Neurospora crassa OR74A: one gene and its partners. The protein of the gene in region 1 interacts with the protein of each later gene in a biochemical or structural test. Links are inferred from orthologs where the notes say so. Each region holds a gene or a part of one and is shown on either strand. Other genes may lie near its edges.

What was found.
Region 2: the proteins of tom70 (region 1) and NCU07414 form a complex in vitro, tested with the Saccharomyces cerevisiae proteins (2 studies listed by BioGRID). The link is inferred for Neurospora crassa OR74A from reciprocal best matches to the Saccharomyces cerevisiae genes TOM70 and YDJ1.
Region 3: the proteins of tom70 (region 1) and NCU00714 form a complex in vitro, tested with the Saccharomyces cerevisiae proteins (2 studies listed by BioGRID). The link is inferred for Neurospora crassa OR74A from reciprocal best matches to the Saccharomyces cerevisiae genes TOM70 and STI1.

The regions. Positions count from the first base shown.
Region 1 is NC_026505.1:5,339,643-5,345,424, forward strand, and holds tom70 (outer mitochondrial membrane translocase), read right to left. Parts: upstream 3,540-5,782; 5' UTR 3,021-3,539; coding exon 2,829-3,020; intron 2,711-2,828; coding exon 1,741-2,710; intron 1,688-1,740; coding exon 1,214-1,687; intron 1,151-1,213; coding exon 912-1,150; 3' UTR 306-911; downstream 1-305. Other genes in the region: NCU04246 (hypothetical protein), read left to right, coding at 4,588-5,306, 5,376-5,487. UniProt on the Saccharomyces cerevisiae protein: Component of the TOM (translocase of outer membrane) receptor complex responsible for the recognition and translocation of cytosolically synthesized mitochondrial preproteins.
Region 2 is NC_026501.1:6,008,807-6,013,804, forward strand, and holds the start of NCU07414 (DnaJ family protein), read right to left. Parts: upstream 3,702-4,998; 5' UTR 3,385-3,701; intron 3,105-3,384; 5' UTR 2,975-3,104; coding exon 2,939-2,974; intron 2,874-2,938; coding exon 2,804-2,873; intron 2,741-2,803; coding exon 1,910-2,740; intron 1,853-1,909; coding exon 1,545-1,852; 3' UTR 325-1,544; coding exon of another isoform or gene 1-324. Other genes in the region: NCU07415 (proline iminopeptidase), read left to right, coding at 1-324; NCU07413 (cytosine deaminase), read left to right, coding at 4,979-4,998. UniProt on the Saccharomyces cerevisiae protein: Probably involved in mitochondrial protein import. Is also required for efficient translocation of pre-pro-alpha-factor. Involved in heme regulation of HAP1, as a component of the high-molecular-weight (HMC) complex.
Region 3 is NC_026501.1:7,456,898-7,461,840, reverse strand, and holds NCU00714 (heat shock protein STI1), read right to left. Parts: upstream 3,702-4,943; 5' UTR 3,418-3,701; coding exon 3,347-3,417; intron 3,278-3,346; coding exon 1,765-3,277; intron 1,703-1,764; coding exon 1,550-1,702; 3' UTR 1,237-1,549; downstream 1-1,236. Other genes in the region: nic-8 (isochorismatase family hydrolase), read left to right, coding at 1-627. UniProt on the Saccharomyces cerevisiae protein: May play a role in mediating the heat shock response of some HSP70 genes. It is required for optimal growth of yeast cells at both low and high temperature.

The DNA.
Region 1 (5,782 bases):
AGTAAGTGGCTGGGATTTCGAAGAATAGCAGGTAGTTGGAGAGTGGGAAAGACCTAAAGAAAAAAGAGAGAAAAAAAAAAAAGAAGAGACGCCGGGAATCGGTGGTTGGGCTTGTTTCTAAGGGTTTTTTTTTTTCTTTAAAAATTTTCTCTTTTTATTTTGGGGGTGGGGGGGTGTTGAGATTGGCTGTTTCTGGGGTTGCTTAGAATTTGAGTCTAACTTTTAATATGAAAGGTGACTCGGAGGAGGCCCCGAGAAATCACCCCGTACGGATGTCCCACGTTGGTTTTTATCGATACCCATGTTTCATTTTCATCTTCATCTTCATTCTCGTTTGTTTTGTGTTGTTCAGCGTATTTAAGCTCGTTTACTACAACTCCAAGGTGAGTATATACAACATACTAATTCGTCATATAATTACGAACATACCGAACTCCCCATCTGTAGAGTTGGCCCATAAAAGCAGATAGAGAGAAGAGCATTGAAATCAACTCCATATTCAACCAAAATCAAATGCCAATTTGACCCCCGAAGCGTAACATGACATAACATGATGTATGATGATAATGGATTGATGGTGATGATGATGACGATGATCGTGATGTGTAGTGATGAGGTCGTGTGGAATCGAGAGACAGAGAGAGAGGGAGAAGAGAGAGAAGTATTAAAAAAAAAGCATTACATCCTATCCCATCCAGGCCAACCTATGTAAAACACCATCCATCCATTCCCGCGTCTCCTTACCGCCAACAGACATCCTCAATCTCCTTACACCGTTACAGCAGTAGCAACAACCAAAAATGAACCCTTTTTAATGTACAACACACTGCTTTTCTACTTCGTTTCAAAACTTCATCGCTTTCTTTATTTCTCTTCCTTTTTTATGCTGCTAGAGTAATCTTGACATGCTTTTACCGCATGCCGGGACCACCGCTCATGCCCTGGAGCTTGCTGGCCAGCTCGGGGTAGTTCTCCTGTACCTGGATCTGTGTCCTCGTGGCCTCGGCGTAGGAAAGGGCGTTAACAAGTTCGCCTTCGGTGCGGGCGAGCTCGGCGGCACGCTCAAAGAACTTGAGGGCCTCGACGACCTTGCCCTGCTGGAGGAGGAGCTGGGCCATGGTGGCGACGGCAATGTCGCACTCGGGGTCGACTGGAATCATTCATGTTAGCACACAAGATATGATAATTTGGTTTGAAATGGGGGCTATCTTACTGATGAGGGCCTTCTCGCAGAGCTGCTCAGCTTCGGCATAATCCTGCTTCCACTGGAAGAGGGCAAGAGCCTTGTTAATGAGGGGGAGAACGTTCATGCACATGGGCTTGGTCTCCTTCTCGAGGGCGATCGCGGTATCGAACTTCTCAATGGCTTCCTGGAATTTGTTCTGGTCGAGAAGAAGCTCGCCATAGTAGTTGTAGACATCGGGGGTCTGGTCGAAGTTCTTCATGCAGCGGCGGAAGGTGGCCATGGAAGAGGCAATGGAGCCCATCTTGTACTGGGTGACACCAAGCTGGATGTGGGAGAAGATGAAGTCGGAGTCGAGATCGATGGACTTCTGGTAATCCTTAGCAGCCTCGGCGAACTCCCCCTTGATGAAGTGGAGCTGGGCGCGGTGGTAGTAGATATCAGGGTCCTCGGCGTTCTGCTCAATGGCCTTGTTGAAGTCCTCCTCGGCCTTGTCGGGGTGACCTATAAAAGGGGTTAGCACAGGTCCAAGTTAACAGTTGAAGACAAAGACTTACCGAGCTCAAGGTTCATGCTAGCACGCTTGATGTAGCTCTGGGTCATGGCAGGGTCGAGCTCGATGGACTTGCTGAGATCGGCGAGAGCCTCCTCGTGCTTGCCCATGAGGCAGTGGAAGGTACCACGGAGGTTGTAGGCAAGAGCCTCATGAGGACCGAGCTCGCCGAGGTCGAGGGCCTTCTTGAAGGCGGCGGAGCCCTCCTCATAACCAGTACCAGTCTTGCTCTCCAAGTGCTTCAAGCCAAGCTGCAGCTGACCAAGACCGGTCTCCTCGGAGAGCTCAACAGAGTCCTCGAGACCCTCGGGGCGGGGCTTGGAGCGGAAGCTCTGGAGGTAGTTGCCAACAAAGGTGGAGCTGGGGAGCTTGGGAGGCTTTGTCTCGAGGATTTCCTTGGCCTTGTTCTCGGCGAACTTCTTGAGGAGGCGCTCGACGGCCTGGGCGCTCTGCTCGTTGCGGAAGCCGTCGATGATGCAGCTGGCAGTGAAGTCGAGGAGAGCGTCGCTGTAGCGGCTAAGCTGGTCGTAGGCATTGGCACGGCGGTTCAGGGCCTTGACGTAGTGGGGGTCGAGCTTGAGAGCGGCGGTGGTATCGGCGACAACCTGCTCCCACTGGGCGAGGGCATTGTGGCAAGCGGCGCGGTTGGAGTAGTAGACGGGGTCGGGCTTGCAGATGATGGCCTTGGAGTAAAGGTCGATGGCCTTGTTGAAGTCCTTGGAACCGTAGGCCTTGTTTCCGAGCTCCTTCAGCTTGGCGGCGTACGCCTTGCGCTCGTCCTCGGATAGCCTGACGACGGATTCCTCATCGATCTCGGGCAGCTCGTCGGCGCTCTCGACGGCGGCGGCCTTGGGTTGTGTGGGAGCGGCCTCTTCTGTCTTGGAAGTAGAAGCCTTCTCGGCCTCCCCCTTCTCGGCCTGCTTCCGTTTCCTCCTTTCCTTCTTGCTGAGCTTGGGGCCGGACTCCTTCTGCTCCTGGGGGGAGTGGGCGCAAACGTTAGTAAACGAGAAGACCTCATGCAGCTGGGCAGGGCGCAGGGCAGCAGCGAGACGCGGGACGCGGGAAGATGCGCGGGAGAAGGATGCAACGTACTGATCCCTTGCGGAGATAGTAGACAACACCGGCGGTGGTGATGACGACGGAAACACCAGCAATGGTGTAGACAACAGCCTTGTGCTCCGAGACCCAGTTGGAGACGCGGTCCCAGATGGACGAGTCGGCCGGGACAGTGACGGGCGTGGCCGCCGGGATGGGGACGGAGGGCGGCGGGATGGTGGGAGCCATGGTTATTATGTGGTGATGGGTGTAGGAGAACCTCTAGTAGATAAGGTAAACAATCAGGGTATATACTAGATCGGAGTCGGCAGAGAGACGACCGAATGGCAAGGCTAGGTAATCGAGGAGACGAAGGGACGGCGGCGGCGGCGGCAAGTTCAGAGACAGATTCCGGCAACTGCTTCAATTGCAGTAAGTAACAAGCCAAGTGAAGTTCCTCTATTTTTTTGAGTGGATGATGCGGGTTCGTTCGCAAGGGTCGGACCCGGACTTGGATAGCGCGGCGGGCGGCGGCCACAGCCCACGGCAACGTAACTGGACTTCAAGGTTGGGCCCGGGGTACTCCTTCACTCCTCTACAGGTTTTCCCTCTTGGCACACGGCAGCGCAGTCCACAATAAGTCCACAGGTACGCGCACAGTCACTGAAAAAGGTAGTAGCAAATGGAATCCTCAAGCTTGGTAATTGCTCGATGGCGTCGGTGGATGGGCAGACGTATGAATGTCTGTCTGCTGGGGCTCAAGCTCCGAGATCTTCGTCGTGCGAGAAAAAAAAAAAAAAAAAAAAAGTTGTTTTGACGCGGGCGGCAGTGCGGCTGGCGGCTGGGCAACCGGCAAACAAACTACCATACATACCTCTACGGTATTACATATCATGAACTAAGGCCTAATGGGATGTAAATAGACAGTGTTGACCTCCAAAGCTGACGTGGTCTGAGCTCCTTCAAGCTGCTATTGCCAAGCCTTGTCAGGGCAGCTGGTGCCTGAATCCCCTCTGTTTACAGCTCAGCACTGTTGGTTTACACATGGACTACTCGGAGCTGAACATCCATTCCCCTTTCCCTTGGATTTTCGGAACAACGGAGGTCGAAGTTTATAACAAGAATGAAGACTTCTACATTGTCTACTATCACAGACTAGATAAGCCCTGAGAATACTCTATTTCAGATAACTCCAACCACCATTAACCCAAGTTCATCAACGTTCGTAGCTGAGATATCTCTCAACTCAGCCGAGGGGAAATGGAATAAACGCCAAGAATGACCGCACACGGTGGGGTAAGCTTCGCTTATGTACGTCAAGCAAAAGCGGATCAGGGCAGCTTGGGTGGTTCCACTTTAAAGTTGAACGCCCCGCCATTCGACCATCAGGGCAGTGTCATCCCGTCCAGACCTTGTCGCTGCCGTCTTTGATGCAACTGTGACAGAACTTGACTCGTGGACTGCAGTGATTTCAGTTTATACATCCGTCTGTATCTTTTTGTTACATGTTTCATTCCTGCCATCACCGGCGGCTTCTTTTACCAATCATCGGTCATGTCGGCGCGAAGGATTGTTGATTTATCGGGCCCATCAGGTATGAGGAAACCTAAGCTGATAGATTTTATACATTATATTCCCCATGAAACGACCACAGAGAGCAATGAGTCAGCAAGCTGGATTGCATGTCATATAAAACAGATAATACATTACGGATATCGTATTCTTCACCATTCACCTTCACTCTTCGGAGTCTCTAATCCATCGAGTCTATGCTGTTCCTCCATCTAGGTAACCTTCAAAGACAGGCACCCTCACAATGGCGACCACGACAGAAGCTCCCCTCCTCCTCTTCACCACCCTGCGTTACGACCCTCTCCTGCTTCCCGGCTTCGTCTCTCCCACTGAATCCTCCCCGTTCGCTCCATTGTACATGCTTCCTTACCATCGCGATCGCATCCTGCGCGCCGCCACTCACTTCAAATGGCCCGCCGTAGTCTCTCTCCTCTCCGGTGACAGCGGTCTCGAAACGCTCTCCTCCTTCATTTTCTCCTCCCTCTCCGACGAGCAGCGATCTCACCCAAACCGCATCCGTGTAACCGTCTCTGAGAAGGGAGAGCTAGGCATCACCATCTCACCAGCACCACAAGTCCCTTCAACAGCCAACTTCTTCCCAAATTCCCTTCCCCAGCCGGGTACCAATATCCCTAGTCTATGCCTGATGGGAACCTCGACGCCGTTCGAGGTCCTAGTCGACACCCAAAGGTCCAAAAAGTCAGCATACACGCACTTTAAGACTACGAAGCGCCAAATCTACGACGAAGCGAGAAAGAGGCACGGGATCGCGTTGACGGATCGGAAGGAGGTGTTGATTGTTAGCGAGGATGGGGAGGTGATGGAAGGGAGTATTGCCACGCCGTACTTTTGGAGAGACGGGAGATGGGTGACACCGCCGGTTGGGGAAGGTGAGGGAGAGACAGAAGGGGATTGGGGAAGTGGTGGAAATGCGGGAACTACGAGGAGATGGGCTTTGGAAAGGTGCGTTTCTCCTGCTTTGAGATGAGATGATTATTATTGGGCAGTTCTGCTAACGGCGCGCCTGGGTAGGGGAATTGCGGTTGAGCAGGTTGTACGGGCAAACTCGCTGGTTGATGAAGAAGAGTGCTGGTTGAGTAATGGGGGCAGGGGATTCTACTTTGGAAAGGTCAAGTTGGGCTAGGTCCTGAGATGGCAAGCGGATGAGCGTTAAGGGCATGATTCCGTGATGCTTTCATTGCGCCAGGATACCGTTTCTGAAAGTCGCGGTTACCATAAGATATGGCTTGTAATCGTCGTTCGGTGCTACCGAGGCTGAACAGGGGCAATGTTTATTTGCTCCCGTCCCGGGCATCACTAGGGCAACACACCAGGCTGGGCTGTTTCCCATCGTGAGACCTTCGGGGGATTTTGCGGAGCAATGTATCACGGTGCGCAAGCCGAGCCAAGCTAACAACTCATAATCACCTGTTCAGAAG
Region 2 (4,998 bases), on another chromosome or scaffold:
TCTGGCGAAATGGTCTACCCTGCCCACTTCGATTGCTACCCAGAGCTAAAGGACATGAAGGAGACGGCCGAGCTTCTGGCCAAGCACGACGACTGGCCGCGGCTCTACGACCTGGACCAGCTTGCGCGGAACGAAGTCCCTGTCTACGCGGCTAGTTATGTTGAGGACATGTATGTCGACGCGGACTTTGCAAGGGAGACGGCCAAGGCGGTTAGAGGGACCAAGGTGTTTGAGACGAACGTGATGTATCACGGAGCGTTGAGGGCCAAGACCGACGAGGTTCTGGGGCAGTTGTTCAAGTTGAGGGATGATACCCTCGATTAAGCGTGAGTGGTTGTCGGGGATTTCAGCTCGTTGCCGGTTTGGCGTGGATGTTAAGATTCTTGATGAAGACAAATTCCCTTTTGTTTTGAATTTGGTGAGATGTTGGCGAGGACGTGTGCTTTTGATACTGGTATCACACGATCGGGGAGATGAGGTTCATATTTACTTGAGTCTTCACGACCAACGAGAGGTGCCCTAACTGGCCCCCAGGAGGCTGATGTTTGGTTTGGAAAATTGACGTGTTGCTCCGGTCTCAGATGCTCAAAATCATGTCCGATTTGCCTTGAATGGCGAATTTACACGCACGCGGTCTTAAAGACTGTGAGTACACTGGATGGGTACGCTAGGAGCTCGTCGGCAGCCTATATCTAATGACCACAACATAACAACATGCAGTTCGCCAATGAAACGAAATATGGCATTCAGGAATCCTGATCATTTCGCTAACAATCCCAGAAAAAAATAAAACAAAATCCAGCTCCCCTTCCCCCTTTCTTCCTGGATCCAGGTGAGCAGCAATCATGTGATACGCGTAGCATGAGCATGTACTGAGTAGTCCCCCCCTGTTCCTTTCTCATGCTACATGACCTTCCTGTGTCCTTCATATGAAGCAAATAGCCGGGATAAGACGGTAATGCCATGTCCATGCCCTTCATCCTTCTTTTCTATCAGTCCGATATCCTCTCTAGAACGCCTGCCAATAAGACCGGGTGTTGATATATTTTGACATCGATAGAAGTAAAAGTCCACCATGTCATTAAACGCAGGTGAAATAGGGGGAACATCAAACAACGAGATTGAACCCTCTTCTTCCACCGTGATAGTGATAATCCGGGTGCTGTGTGGATAAGTGTGATCGTATCCCTTCCACCCGTGCCGACTTGATCACACTTCAGGTATTACCGGTTTTCACCTTGCATCATACCCCCTTTTTGTTCCCTTCTCCAACTCTTCGTTTTGTCGGCCCCTCAAATATCGTGCCTCGTCAAATGTGCAATACTCGATAATGAGTCGAGTAATCGGGTATATTTGCTTCGTTAAGGATGATCATGGGGACAAGAGACATGAAATGATTTAGAATCGTTGCAAATCATTCATCCTCCATAGCAAGTCTCAAACAATGTCGTGCATGGCACGCTTTGTTGGACCGTCGCTTGTGCCGCAATTTATCGTCGAATTATGGATAAGGTTGGTACTGCTTCCCCGCCCATTTAGCTCGCTTACTGCGAGGCGCACTGTACGCGTTCGGCCTGAGGCTCGTCATCCTCCTCCATAGGGCTGTTGGAGAAGCCACGGCCGGCTCCGTTGCCCTCGACGTCCTCCAATTCTGCTGGCTCGGTCATAGCATCCTGAGGGGGTACGTTGACAACAGCGGGGGCCGGGAGGTACTTGCGAAGAGCCTCGAAGGCAGCGGGATCCTGAGTCCAGTTCTTCTCGGGGAACCTGACGGAAAACTGGATATACATGTTGCCGTAATCGTGGTGGCGGTAGGAGGGCATACCCTGGCCACGAATCATCTTGACGGAGTCTATCTTGCTGTTAGCGCTTGCTGATGCATAATGTAGCCGGACAGAAGAACACTTACTGGGCGCAATAGCCTCGCCGGGCTGGATGTCGACGCTCAACCAGCGCTCATCGAGATGCTCGATGTAGATGGTTCCACCGGCAAGGGCGGTCACGAGATCGATCTCGCACTTGTAAAGAAGATCATCCTCCTGACGGGTGAAGCGGGGATGGGGCTTCTGCTCGATGACGAAGACGACGTCACCGGGGAGAATGCCAGGTGCTTGGTCACCCTCACCACGGAACTCGACCTTGGTGCCGCTCTTAACGCCACGGTCAACGTGGACGTGGAGGACCTTGCGATCGACAACGGTCTTCTTGCCATTGCACTGCTTGCAACGATCCTTCTCCTTGATTACCTCGCCTTCGCCATTGCAGTCAGGGCAGACGGTCTGGAAGCGCTGAATCATGGGGCCCATCTGCCTCATCATGATCTTGGTACCCTGACCATCGCAGCCAGCACACCGCTTGACGGCACCTTCCTTACCGCCGCGACCCTCGCACTTGGGGCAAAGGATTGACCGCTGAAGGGCCAGCTTGGAGATCTTGCCGCGGTAGATGTCCTCAAGCGAGACGTGGTGGGTGTGGTGAATAGTCTTGGCCTTCGCGGGGGCACGCTGCTGGTTCATACCGCCGAACATACCACCGAGACCGCCGCCGAAGCCACCGCCGCCGAAGAACTGAGCGAACAGATCCTCGGCAGCCATGCCGCCACCGGCACCGGCGCCACCCTCAAGACCAGCCTCGCCATACTGATCGTAGATGGCGCGTTTTTGGGAGTCGGAAAGAATTTCGTATGCGTGAGAAATCTCCTTGAACTTCTGCTCGGCAGCCGGGTTGTTGGCGTTCTTGTCTGTAGTGTTTTGTGGTCAGTAAGCCTTCTGGCTGCGCGTGTTGCAGGGAAGGCGGAACATACCTGGGTGGTACTTAAGGGCACCGGTCTTGTATGCCTTCTTCAATTGCGCCTCAGTGGCATCTGGGCTGACCTAAATATGGGCGTTAGGGGGCCTCCTCTGTCAGGCGAGGGGTATCGGTAAGCAGCAGAACTTACTCCAAGAGTCTCGTAGAGCTTTGTTTCCTTGACCATCTTGACTGTCTGGTCTAGTTATGTGAATGGGTGTGGGAAAATGTTCTGGCAGTTCGGAATGCTCTGGACAATCAGTTCCGATGACAATGACGGATATGGGAATGTGTCAGGGCCGTTAAGAAATCGTGGTCTGATGGGAAGACAGATAAGGTCAGCGGCTGCGAGGTCGTGTCGAGAATAATGGAGATGGAGTCGAGAGGAGACAATGAATGGCTGGTGCAAATGAAGAGTGGTGGTGGACAACGGTGGAAGAGAAAGATCTTTTTGCGCAAAGGGTTGGGAAAGGCCGACGGGGTCCCGAGTCGGGGTTGGTTTGGCAGAAGTTGGGGACTTCCAGGCCTCGCTTGCTGGTCCAGGGCACCGAGAAAGAAGCGCAGAACAGGAACGGACAGAAACAGGGATGGACCTACCAGAACAGCTTGAGCTACAGTGACAGCAGCAGGAAGCGTCCGAGATGAAAATAGTTGATAAGGTACGGGATTTGAGTCGCCGGAGGATAGTTGGGAGTGATAGGAGGCTTGATGAGGCGTAGTTGTAGTAGCAACACGCAAGACGGAAGATGGGGTATAACGGAATGACTGATCAACTTTCTCGAGAAAACTGTCCAAGTACCGGCAGCAGGGTTCAAATATTATCAACCAAGGCAGGGCAACAGAACCGGAATCTTCACTGCAATTCTGGAATAGGCGCAGAGGGAGGGATGCGGCGGGCGCCTTGTGCGTTGGGGGGAGGCCCGGAACGGCAAAGGAGGCTGAAGTGGGTGACTGGCCCAGTGAGTTCTTCTCCAGCCCCTCTCATGGAAATCAATCGAAAGCTCTAGAGTGTGGCTGACAGATATGGGGGCCAGTAATGAGCTACTTCCTCGTCCCGCTCCTGCAGGGTTGCGAAGAGGGCGTGCGAGGTGAGAGGTGACCAGGTTCCCCACACTCATCCCAAAGTACCTCTTTATCACTCATTGAGAGGATCTAGCCTCAGGAGATGCAGATGGAAATTCGGTTGACCTTGGAGGACCCTGTCGATCGTGGCTGGTGCGCTCCAATGTGACAGTGACCAATGCCCAACTTTCAACTTTTATTTTAACCGCACGCAATCATGCAAAACATGGTGCATATGTACCTTTGATAAAACTGTAAAAACGCACACCATCTTTACACTAGGCATTTTATCTTCTTTTTACAAGGCAGCATGCATGTCCTCTGATTGGGTTGTTGGTGATGTTGTCTCGTCTGGATCCGAGTTGGCGTCCGCTCGAAACCCTGCAGGCGTTCCGCTTCCCAACAACCCCCACTAACATCTTGAGGTCGCCTTTTGCCCCTCGGTTTTTCAACCCCCTTCAACCACTCGTCGCGGGGCAGCTTCTCATAAGGGTTTACCTTTCATCTAGAGAATTCCAGGTGAAGCAAGCGAGAATGACGTGCGCTGCTGCTTTGCTTATCGATCACCAAAAAGACTCGGAGCGTCTATCTGTGGTTCAAGAGGAGATACTCGGGATCAAATCATTAAGATCCATGAATTATATAGCCTCAGCATCTGTGCCTTACCGAGGTGTCCTAGCTCAGATGCCTTTCTCTTTTGTCTCTCTCTCTCTCTCTTTCTTTTTTCTTTTTTTCTTTTTTTCTTTTTTTTTTTTCAAATGCCTACAGTACACCGGTTCAATGGCAGTTTGATATGAAACTAAATGGTTACCCTCGCAAACAGCACCTTATCGCACTGAGTGACATCTCGGAAGTGGGGGGTCTGCTACAAAGGCTAGATAGGTATACACCAATACCACGGAGATACCAGGGAGATAAGGTGTCTTAGGTCACATATTCAATCAGCCTGATGTTCATCAAACGTGGAAAATGGGAACTTGGCGAGTTGAAGTCGAGTGACAACATCACGGTGGTACTTCTGGAAAAGTTATCTCTTCCAGACCATAGCTACCTACCTTCTGCACTCCAAAGTTCTCTCAGCCCTCTTACATAGCATACCTCTTATTTGACCTCCCTAAATTCCTCCATCATGGATGATGCTGCCGGTCT
Region 3 (4,943 bases), on another chromosome or scaffold:
TCCTTCGCCTCCAACCACAACCACGCCTCCTCCCCATCCCCCTGCTGCCCTGACTCCTCCGGAAAAGCCGCCATCCCCTTCCTGTCCACCACCACCGTCCACAACCCCCACAACCCCTCCGAGTCCTACACTACCCGCCTCTGGCCCTCGCACTGCATCGCCGACACCCCCGGCGCTAGCCTCATCCCCGAGCTGGACGTTTCCAAAATCGACCAGATCCTCGAAAAGGGAACCAACCGCCTTGTCGAAATGTACTCGGCCTTTTACGACCCCTTCACCTCACCCCGCGTGAGCGATTCGGGCCTCGCACACATGTTGAGGGAGGCCAAGGTAACGCACGTCTATGTGGTGGGGCTGGCGGCCGATTATTGCGTGTGGAGCACGGCGATGGATGCACATAACGAAGGGTTTGAGACGGTGGTGGTGGAGGAGGCGACGAAGCCTGTTGATGAGGACGGGTGGAGGAGGTGTAAGGAGGCGCTTGTGGGGGAGCCGGGGGTGAGGGTTGTGAGGTGGGAGGGAGAGGAGGTTAGAAGGCTGTTTCCTGGGGGTTTGGTGACAACAACTGTCGGTGCTGGGAATGACGAGGAGGTAGTGGAGGAGGAGGAGGAGGAGGAGAAGATTTGAGGAGGTGGAAGGAAAGGGAGGGAGGAAAATTGAAACTGGAACTGCTGGCGGGGATGGACGAGGTCAGCGGGAAAAGGCTTTGGCTTTTTGTTGTGCTTTTGTAGGCGGGTGAAGAGGTACCTTATATGCAGCGTTGGCTGCTCGGTCGTTCAACGGGAGCATGACAACATGCAGTGCACAGGCATGGCATGGCGGCCATGCTTCAGGGCGGATACTGCGTTGCTTCGGCGCCTGCGTTGCGTTGCGTTGCGTTGCGTTGCGTTGCGTTACGAGCTTTAGATTGTTTATTTGTTTTCATTTTCATTCCACGGCCGATTATAGCTGACTTTGTTTAGGCTTAGCGATGAGCGCTCTTAGCGATACATTCTTGATACCCTTTCAGGAAGATGACGAGCAGATACCGACATGTGTTGTGCAATATCATGGCGATTTGAAGGGGAAGCTTTGCCATGTGTCAGTACACTGCCTAGTATTCGGCATCCCGCTCAACGCGGATTTAAAAAAAAAAAAAAAGAAAAAAAAAAAAAAAAAAAAAACCAAGAGGTACTCGGAGTCTCCCGCCTACTACGGTGTCGAATTCGTGGTTGGACACATGGAGTCAACAAAGTTCCAAGAAGTAAGCGGGCAAAAAGAGACTCCATGCCCTTGTGCGCTCGTGAAACTACACACGAAATGTTGACAAATCGTCTCCCTAACCCTAATGACATGAATGGAATTTACTGTACAAGAAAGTGATAAAGATAAATTGTCATTTCTCATGCAATTCATTAAGGGATGGTATGATTTCCCATTCAAACGGGAGTAAATGTGTGTTCAAGAAACCCACGCCATTCCGACCTTCGTTCCCAAGCGCCAATGCTATGATCCCCGGCCAAACCAATGCCCCTTTTTGATCCCCTTTCGTTCATTTTTTTGTTCTGTTTTACCGGCCAACGCGGATGACGCCAGCAGCGATAAGCTTCTGGATCTTGGTCCTGACGTTGGGGTTCCTCATGTGCTCGGCCAAAGCGGCAGGGTCGGACTGAGCCTGCTGGAGGATGGCCTGCATGACAGGATCGGACATGATACCCATGATCTGAACGCGAATATGTTAGTATATGTTGCAAACAGTGAATCTGGTATTACGATATGACATACCTCAGGATCACGCGCCAGACGCTCCCTTGTCTGCTCCTCGGTCTCGTTCTCGCGAGCCGCATACATGGCGTTGAAGGCCTTCTGCTCCAGCTGCTCAATCTCACGAGCGTTGGCGCCATTGTGGTACTCGGCATCGATCTTGCGGGCTTCGGTGCAGGCGTCAACGCACTTGCTGTACTCGCGCATGCCAAAGTAGATCTGAGCCTTGCGGATGTAAGCACGGATGAACTTGGGGTCCTTCTTGATGGCCGTCTCGCAGTCTTCAAGGGCGCTAGGGAACTCGAGGAGCTTCATGAAAGCAGCAGCACGGTTGCTGTAGCCGCGGGGGTCATCCGGAGCACGCTTGATCATCTCGGAGTAGGCAGCAACGGCGCCGGGCCAGTCCATCTCCTTGAACTTCTTGTTACCCTCCTCACGAGCCTCCTCGGCCTTGACGGGGTCAATGTAGGCCTTGCGGGCAGCCTCGATCTTGTTGCGTTCAGCCGCGCGCACCTTGCTGATGACCTCAGGGGTACGGTGCTCGCGCAGACTCTGGTTGTAGTATTCAATCGCATTGGTAAGATCACCCAGCTTCTCGTAGGCAGAACCAATGCGCGCAAGCGACTTGGCAATGACCTTGAAGTCGGCATAACGAGCACGACCCTCCTCGGCAGCCTTCTTGCAGGTGTCAATGCAAGCCTGGTAGTCGCCCTTCTCAAAGTAGGCGGCGCCAAGGTTGTTGAGGTACACAATGTCCTTGTACAAGTCCCAAGCGGCCTGGTAGTGCTTGATGGCCTCATCAAAGTTGCGCTTCTTGTAGCACTCGGTACCAAGGGCCTTTTCCTTGTCGGCCGCCTCCTTGGCCTTCTTCTTCTCCAACTCCTCCTCATCCAGCTCCGGCTCGGGCTCGGGCTCGGGCGTCTTGGGCTTTGGTGGCGTCTCCTGCTTAGGGGCCGGGGCATCAGTCATGTTGACGTCCTCCTGGGGGGCTCCAGGGGGCACGTCCGAGTCCCTCAACTCCATGTCTACACCCATCAGGACACCAAGGACCTGGATCATCCTGGGGTCGGAGAAGAGATCTTGCGCGTTCGAAGGGTTCTGCTTGACAGCCTGGAGCTTGGCCATGAATGCCGGGTCGGAGAGGAAGGCAGCCGTCTTGGGGTTGCCGGCGAGCTTCTGGATGAGGTTGGGATCGGCGAACATCTGGCCAATACCACCGCTGAGGTCACCGCCGCCAGCCTCCTGCTGCATGGCGCGCTGAACAGCCTCAAAATCCTTCTTCATGCCAGCATTGTTGGGATCAATCTTGAGGCCCTGCTCGTAAGCATCGTTTGCGCCCAGCAGGTCACCCTTGCCGAAGAGCGCTGTGCCCTTGCGGCCCCAGCCCTTGGGCCAGTCAGGCTTGATCTCGGTGGTCTTCTCGGCATCCTTGAGAGCATTGTCCCAGTCCTTCTTGGAAGCGTACGCGGCGGAACGGTTGCTGTAAAGGATGTGGTTGCTAGGGTCGAGGGCAATGGCTTGTGTGAACTTGTCACTGTAAAGGGACAGCTAGTGTCAGTGGATAGCTGACATGGATGTATGTGATATCGGCGGTAGAGCTTACATGGCCTCGTCAAAGTTCTTCTCGGCAATGGCCTTGTTGCCAAGAGCCTTGAGCTCGTCCGCGGTCGACATTATGGTGTGTGGTTACTTGTATTAATGATTTCTGAAGGTGATATGGGTATCTCGGGATAGAAGAAATGCGACGGGGAGTGCAAACTGGTGCGTTACAGAATCTTGCTTTTGGGTATCACGGAATTGGATGTCAGTGCCCAGGAAAGAGGCTTCGTCGGGAATCAGGCTGAAGGATCACCAGATTTATTCACGGGGAGAAAGAGGGCGCGACATGACTGGAAACGGCAGCGGCCTGGGCGGGCGGCCTTCTGTCGTGGAAAGGGAATGGAAAGCTCTGGACCTTCGATGCCTTTCGATGGTCAAGTCGGCTTGTGATTGGATGGTATCGTTGAGCACTGGAGTACACTACAGCTCCCCCGCCAACTGCGTCTTTCAGGGTGGCAGGTGCCCCTCTTTTGAGGCTGCTCGGCTGCCGTCTATGTACCTAATGACCCCGCTGACAGCTGAGGTCCGACCCCCGCATCGACCTTAGGTTGTCATGGTCGAGGCCGATGCGGTGTCTCGTCCGTAGAAGTACCCGGGCTGAGAACGGCCAGCGTCACCGGAAAAACACCCTGGAGGTCCTTCAGAGAGAGCGGTAGTGATTCTGTTTCACTTCGACTCTACTTCGGGATCAGGTCGACGCTTGCCACCAGTTCAGCTCACTTACCTTCAAGCCTATAACCTGGACACGGCCGCCTGCATTGCCCCGAGAAATGGGCGCGCCTTGGGCTTTCTAACCATTCATCAGGCAATACTTAATAGGGTAGTGCAACACTTCCTACGATGGGAATTTTCTCCTGTCCACCTCCTATTCGGTATCGCAGCAGGCAGCCGAGAAATAGCTAGTGTATGTGGCCAGACTCCACAGACAACCTCAATCATGTCTGGGTAAGCATCGCGAAGGTCCTCAGCCCATCCCTTGTGCTCATCGATAGAGAGGACGTCTACCGGCACCGAAAAGCAGGGCGAGGACAAGCCGGCGCATATTCTCGGGTCAATAGTCTCTCAAAGCCCGAGGACATGATGCTTCTGATGCTTTGAAGTCGGTGGACGAGTTCTCCTCAGCGCCACATATCCCCAACTGCTTCATACCAGCTCTGTCCCTGTCCTCTCTTATCCGTGTGTTGGCACAGACTGGGAGTCATGCTCGAATGACACGCTCCTTACGTCAACACCTCTCATAACCACCTTCTGTCGTCTGAGAAATCCGTCTTCCTTACCTAAGGGCCCGGTTCAGGCAGATACGGCTATTGGACCATGAGTACGAGCATTGAACTGAAGCTTTAGGTAAACCCGAATATGTTGGATCAGCCTCACACGTTGTTAGCTCAATTCGCCATGATCAAACATCCGTCTACTATTGGGTTCGTGGCCGGTAGATCGTATGCTATCTCATCTGGGCTTGAGTGATGGGGCGGCTTTTGCGCATTGCTGGAAACTCGTATGGCATACAAGGAAGACCGAGTTGTTGAACTCTTTGCTTGCCGGGAGTATTTGAACGCTCCCGCTGGTTGTCATTATGTCACCCATGGGCTTTGACCTCA